2 linked regions of the Caenorhabditis elegans genome follow. The protein of the gene in region 1 interacts with the protein of each later gene in a biochemical or structural test. Each region holds a gene or a part of one and is shown on either strand. Other genes may lie near its edges. The genes, in order: his-61 and nap-1.

What was found.
Region 2: the proteins of his-61 (region 1) and nap-1 are reported together in a solved structure, tested with the Caenorhabditis elegans proteins (one study listed by BioGRID).

The regions. Positions count from the first base shown.
Region 1 is NC_003282.8:7,485,099-7,487,961, reverse strand, and holds his-61 (Histone H2A), read left to right. Parts: upstream 1-1,744; coding exon 1,745-2,128; downstream 2,129-2,863. Other genes in the region: his-60 (Histone H4), read left to right, coding at 1-281; his-62 (putative histone H2B 4), read right to left, coding at 1,046-1,417; Kinetochore-associated protein rod-1, read right to left, coding at 2,635-2,863. UniProt on the Caenorhabditis elegans protein: Core component of nucleosome. Nucleosomes wrap and compact DNA into chromatin, limiting DNA accessibility to the cellular machineries which require DNA as a template.
Region 2 is NC_003282.8:8,376,980-8,381,280, forward strand, and holds nap-1 (Nucleosome assembly protein 1-like 1), read right to left. Parts: upstream 2,341-4,301; 5' UTR 2,333-2,340; coding exon 2,207-2,332; intron 2,162-2,206; coding exon 1,994-2,161; intron 1,963-1,993; exon of another isoform or gene 1,841-1,962; intron 1,809-1,840; coding exon 1,641-1,808; intron 1,595-1,640; coding exon 1,106-1,594; 3' UTR 726-1,105; downstream 1-725. Other genes in the region: D2096.7 (ELYS domain-containing protein), read right to left, coding at 332-422, 469-651; praf-3 (PRA1 family protein), read left to right, coding at 3,011-3,109, 3,295-3,504, 3,904-4,001.

The sequences.
Region 1 (2,863 bases):
TCGGAAAAGGAGGTGCCAAGCGCCATCGTAAGGTTCTCCGTGATAACATCCAAGGTATCACCAAGCCAGCCATCCGTCGTCTCGCTAGAAGAGGAGGAGTCAAGAGAATTTCTGGATTGATCTACGAGGAAACCCGTGGAGTCTTGAAGGTATTCCTTGAGAATGTCATCCGTGATGCTGTCACTTACTGCGAGCACGCCAAGAGAAAGACCGTAACCGCCATGGATGTCGTCTACGCTCTGAAGCGCCAAGGAAGAACTCTGTACGGATTCGGAGGATAATTTCTTTTGTCTTTTCTGTTTTCATACAAACCAATTACCGAACCCAACGGCCCTCTTTAGGGCCACAAATATCCAAAATCCTAATTTTTCTTTGCTAATAAAAATGTTTTGCCACGCTGTATACAATATCATAAATTTTTTTAAGGTAATTTCATCATCAGGTTCGATAAAAATTTAATTAATTTTGCACATGAAGCTGACAATCACCATCATTATTCCGACGTTTAATGTGTTCCTTTGCCTGAACAAATTATCGCTTGGAAATTCACCAGAGCAGTCACCGTGTTCTGAAGATTATTGAAACTAAATTTCTTGGTACATGGTCTAAAATTTGTTGTTTAATTAGTTTGTTGCCTTTATTATTTTTGTGACACAAACTTTAAATTTCCGTGAATATAGACATTTTCATGTTACCTTCTCTAAGCTTCTTCGGTCACCGATCGATTTCCTCTGCGACATTTGAAATGTGAAATTCCACCTTAATTAAATTTGAGTTTCCTCATTAAACAGACGAGATTTATTTTATTTAGATTGATTAGATTGAACGCATTTTTATGAATGATAAGTTCGAACTCTTGAATTCCTTCGAAGGCTAGGAAAACGTAATACTAGATTAAGATTTCAAGAAAAGACCTAATATAAAAGACGTGAATATATAAGAGTGCATATAATTTATTAACGAACATGTAGTTTTGTAAGGATTTCAATATTTGTGGCCCTAAAGAGGGCCGTTGGGTTCGGTTGGTTAGTTTTCAGCCAATGGCTTACTTGCTGGAGGTGTACTTGGTGACGGCCTTGGTTCCCTCAGACACGGCGTGCTTGGCAAGCTCTCCTGGAAGAATCAAACGAACAGCGGTTTGAATTTCGCGAGAAGAGATGGTAGAACGCTTGTTGTAGTGAGCGAGACGAGAAGCTTCCGAGGCGATGCGTTCGAAGACATCATTGACGAAGGAGTTCATGATAGACATGGCCTTTGAGGAGACTCCGGTGTCTGGGTGAACTTGCTTGAGAACACGGTAGATGTAGACGGAGTACGATTCCTTGCGGGCATGGCGTCTCTTCTTTCCGTCCTTTGGCTTGGCAACGACGGTCTTAGCGGCCTTCTTGGCTCCCTTGGCGGATGGCTTTGGTGGCATGATGAGAATGGACTTGAATCAAGTATGAGGAAATGGTCGGAGCGGCAGATATTTAAGTAAAAACTGCGGTGGATGGGCGGAGCTTCCTGCAGGGACACATTTCAGAGTGCACACAACACTCCGAATGCACCGATGCATGTAAATTTGAGACACAGAGACTCTGTGTCGCAGACAAACAATGAGGCTAGAGATAACAGGGGAGGGTGAGGGACAGAGAACCGAGAGGTGTCCCCGCAGTAAGCTCCGCCCCGCCACCGAAGAAATGAATATAAACAGACAGTTTCGGTTCATTCTTCAGATTCGTCTTACGAACACCAACCGCTCATCATGTCTGGACGTGGAAAGGGAGGCAAAGCCAAGACCGGGGGAAAGGCCAAGTCACGCTCATCAAGAGCTGGACTTCAATTCCCAGTCGGTCGTCTTCATCGTATTCTTCGCAAAGGAAACTATGCTCAACGTGTTGGAGCCGGAGCTCCAGTTTACTTGGCCGCTGTTCTTGAATACCTCGCTGCTGAGGTTCTCGAATTGGCCGGTAATGCTGCCCGTGACAACAAGAAGACCCGTATCGCCCCAAGACATCTTCAACTCGCTGTCCGAAACGACGAGGAGCTCAACAAGCTTTTGGCCGGAGTGACCATCGCCCAAGGAGGAGTTCTTCCAAATATCCAAGCTGTTCTTCTTCCAAAGAAGACTGGTGGAGACAAGGAATAAGAACTTTTTTCTTAAAAACCCAACCGAACCCAACGGCCCTCTTTAGGGCCACAATTATCTGAAATCCTAACTATCAATTGAATAAATTGTTTTTTATTATTATAAATCTTGAAGACACGTTAATAGTGAATGTTGAACGAAATTGTGATAATTCGAAAAGCTATCAACTTCAATCCTGTTTGATTCACTTTTCTTTGCATTTATTTCGTTTTCTGTTCACCTGGAAAGCAGTGTTGAGGAAATATTTCGATTTTATCAACTTTTCTTTCAAACTTCAGGTCGTATGTTAAAAAATGAATGCTTCTCTTTCTTAAGATGAATATAATTTATTTAATCGTTTGAATTTACAATTGAATAAAAAACTTTCTCGATGATTTACCATAATTTGGTAGAAAGATGTAATAGAGCGTAAAAAATTAAATTAAAATACTGAGAAAATAATAGTCCCCTTTATTGAGATCTATGCTAGTTTACAGGATAAAACAAATAAAAACCAACGAATTTATTTAAGAGTTGGAAGAGTTTGCGCTAACAGGAACGCATCCTACATCCCATCCAAGTGAAATGTCACGTTTCGGATCCTTGAACTCATGATCAATGATTAGACATGCAATAAGTGCAGTCATTGGGTGTGTTCGTGATGGACATTGAAGAAGAGACTTGATTAATTGCATTTTGTCTGTTTTACAATCTCCCTTAACTTCAGCCTTCTCAAACAATCGTTCGTAGAGTTGA
Region 2 (4,301 bases), 890 kb from region 1:
CCCCAATCATTTTGTTCCATTTAACCAACTGGCTTCGATTAAATGAAAAGTGCACTTTGCAGCACAGAAACATTCGAAACTTTTTTCGGGTCTCTTCGATAAAGTACATGCTAGAGAACTCGAGAGAAGTAGACGCAGACATATGTTCTCTTTTTTCGCAACATTTCGAAATTTGAAGAGAAAAAAACCGACGACATTTAACTCGAAAATGTGTGCAAATACTTTTTCTGTTCTTCAAATATTTTGGGAAAGTAACAAGTATTTGTCTATTGAGACTAGAACTTTTAGGTAACACCAAACTGTATAATTGAGATAATAATAAGAAGATTACCATAATTTGAATATCTACCTTCAAATGAAAAACCAGTTGGCATTGATTTACATAATCTGTTGATGGACGCGAAAACTTCCGAAGAGTTGTGCTGAAGAACAATTAAATACATCTGAAAGGAATGTGTTGGGTGATACCGGTAAACGTCCAAAGTTCGAGTCTTGGTAAATTAAAAAAGCAATCCTCTCGCAGAGACGAGTTTTCACATCATATCGTCTTTCGTTTTCGATGATAATCAATATCTCTGCTTGTGACAGTCCTAGCAAGTCTAGCGATTCCGAGCACTGTGCTTTTAAGAGGAGTTGGTAGCCGTCCAACATAATGCAGAGGGTTTTGAAATAGACGATCTCTCCTGAAAGATGTTCCAGATGGCAAGACCTCAGAAGGACTGAAATTCGCAACAAGGGATTTTATTCATCACTTAATGCAGGATCACGAAAATATTGAAATTCGAGTTCAAAGTCGACTCGTGCCAGCTCATTCAAATCCTATCATAACTAGTATGAAGAATTTGCGAAACAACATACACCAGGATGAAGACAACATGTATCAAGTATTTCGACGACAACTCGTTTTCAGGTATATCTTTAGAGATTGGGAGAAGCGGAATATGGATAGGTCAGGGAATAAACGACAACAACAAGTAACAGCAACAATCGGTTTTCCGCCTATTATGTGAAGGGGTTGGGAATAATCAAAAAAATTTTAAAAAAGAAAATGGAAAATTAATAATTTCAAAAATTGGCAAATTAATAAGTGGTCCATCGATACTGCTTAAGCCTCATCGTCACTGAAGTCTGACACATCATCACCGTCCTCTCCTGGGAAATCGAACATATCGTCTGATTGAAGTTCTCCAGTGTAGAAAAGAACAGCACGTGGAATGATGGTATCACGGATAGCTTGTCCCATCTCGTAGTCGAGCTCAAGGAACTCCTCTGCCTGTTCATCGTCCTCATCTTCATTTCTCTCGTCCTTGCTCTTTGGTGGCTCGAAGAAGTTGAAGAAACTATCTGCTTTCACAGTTTTGGTGAGGAACTTTCCAGCATTAGCTCCCTTCTTTTGCTTCTTCTTGACAGCCTTCTTGGTGACGTTCTTGCCGTCTTCCCACTCAATAGTATCTCCGACAGCGCGGATGACATGTGGTCCATCGAATTGGAGTGGTGCCTCCGCATCTGGGTCGAAACCGAGCAAGTAGGTCTTGGTAAGAACTTGGTTTTTGAAGTATGGGTTGGTGGCAAAGTGGAACTCGATTTTGAAACCCTGAAGTTCAAAACATTAACTTTCGAAAACAATGAAATGCGCTTACGGCTGGATCCTTGCTAGCGGCGGTCGTCACATCAGTGAGATATGAGAGGATTGGTACGTCATGCTCCTCGATGGCTTCAGCAACAAGATCATGGGTTCTGAGAGCGGTGAGCCAGAAATCCTTGATCCCCTTTGCTGATGGGTCAGCCTCCGCAGCTTTGTACAATTCCTGAAACAAAGAAATGTCAACTAATAAGCTGGAATTGTCATAGCCATATCATCGCGCAAGAAACACAATCCAGGAGCGGGAATAAAGGACATGTTTTATTTCGCAACGAAAAAAGGCGTGCCCCACGGGAGGCAAATCTCTTGAATAGTTGCAGGCTATATAGGGAATCTTGATTAGGAACTTACAGCGAGTTGATCTCCCTCGAGTCCTTCGAGGATTGGAGTGTCGATTTGTTCTTTAGTTGGCTCGACCTCTCCCGCGACAATAGCCTTTCTTTGATCGAAAGTGGATTTGAACTTTCCTTCAAACTCGATCTCGAGCTCGTGAACACGTTTGTAGAAGTCAGATTCAATCTGAAATAAATTATATACTTAAGAACATAAACAAAGAAAACTAACCTGAATTGTCTTCATTTGAAGGTTTTTGAGAGCGCAGACGCGTTGCTTGACATTGAGAGGCAAAGCCTGAATCATGTCGAAGTTGGTGCTGAGAAGTCCAGCGTCAATATGCTCTTGATCAGCCATTTTATTACCTACAAAGCATAAATAGATGATTTTGGCATACTCTTTCAAGCAAAAAAATACGATGATTTTCGAAAATTCGAGAAAAAATCTGTAAAATTATTGTGAAACGAAGCAGTGCTGTCTAAAATCATAGGACGAGAGTTGAAAATATATTTTCCAAACAACCACTTCGCTCCTCCTCCATAAAATGTCTCTTCGCGGTGAGACCCGCGGTTAAAGGCGCACACAAGCTTATTATTTACGAGATGGTCTTTCATGCCTATATTATTTTTTATCAATGTTTTCATATTGTCGTTTGTTTTCTGGTTTGTTTTGGTGATTTACATATAATAATTGTATTGATTTTTATTTATAAAAGTATGGATTTGTTATGATAGTAAATTCTCCTGAAATTTGATTGCATTTGAAACTAATTGTAGGCACTTTTTTTTTTAAATAAACAGTTTTTTGCGTTTCAAATTCTAAAATTTGATAGCTCTTCAAATAACCCACATCTTGGAATCATATTTCTCGTTTTCTCGATTCTCTCGAAGTTCCTTAAGCTATTAGAATATTACACATAGCATTCGACGCCAGATGTTCCCCCGTTCAGCACAAAACTTCTCACTTTACTTTAAATATTTTCAACTTCCGAAAATCTTAGCGAGTTTTCAAATTCATTGTTATTTTCAGGGAAAAATGACGACGTCCTCAGAAAATATGCAAATTATGAATGGCGTGGAAGTGCCACCGTTCAGAAATTTTCACGAGTTTCTGCTGGAAACCGATCGATACGAGGTAGGCTTGAATTGTTATTACATATATTTTTAAAGAAGGGCCAACTTTTGTAGAAAATATATTTACATATGTTGAAGTTTGACTAAAGTGGTCGTTTAAAATTTTTACTTAGAGTTTAATTTAAAAATAATCGAGTTTTTTATTTCAATATTCAAAAGATAAAAATCCAATTGATTGATTTTCAGCGTCCACCATTTAACGACTTCAAGAAATGGAACAATCGAATAATCTCGAATCTTCTGTACTTTCAAACCAACTACTTTGTTACAATCATCACTTTATTCCTTCTGCACACGTTCATCAGTAGCCAGGACATTTTCGTCGGTCTTATCGCCGTTGTCGCCGTAATTGCAACTCTAATCTTTGCTGTCTCGGCTGATGCAAATATCAAAAAGGTAATGATTGACGGGAATGTGATGTTTTTATATTGATAAGAAATTCGAATTGTTGACGGAATTGATAGGTACAAAGTTTTATTGGAATTTGGAATTCAAAATTAGTTTAAGTTCAAGTTTCAGATGCAAAACGCAGCAGCATAAAATTAAGCCATGTCCACCGTAAAAAATAAAAAGAGCTCGTTTTTACCGTTTACCTGAATAGGATAAGTTAACATATGTTTCACGTAACAGTTTGTGCACTTCGTTGATGAAAATTATTGTTGTGATAATCGTTTTTTTGCAAGTTAAAGCTAAAAAAATAATTGAAAAATATAGATTAAAACATGATGGCACATAAAATTGGTCCAAAAACAATTACTGAAACCAAGAATTACCAAAAAAAAATCAAGTTTTAAGATGCGCACGGATCATCCATTGGTCACTCTTGGAGGAATAATTCTCGTTGCCTATTTCTTCATTTCTGTCTTCCAATCCGTTCTTGTGGTTGCCTTTGCGTAAGTTTTATAAAAAATTACTAATGTTGTAAAACTGTTTTCATAAGTGGACAATATTCTTATTTAATGTAAATTTGTCGCAGTTATAAATGGACTTAATAATCAAATATAACTGTAAAAAATAAAATTCTTAATGTGTTTTTTTTTTAATTTTGCTGAAATTAAAACAAAGATATATTTATTTTTGAACTCCTTGAAAGCCGGAAAATCGCTAAAATTTTCAAAATTGACTTGAAAATCTAGAATCACATATATTTTTTTGCGAAAAGCTGTCTGAAAAAATATGGTTATTACAGTCCA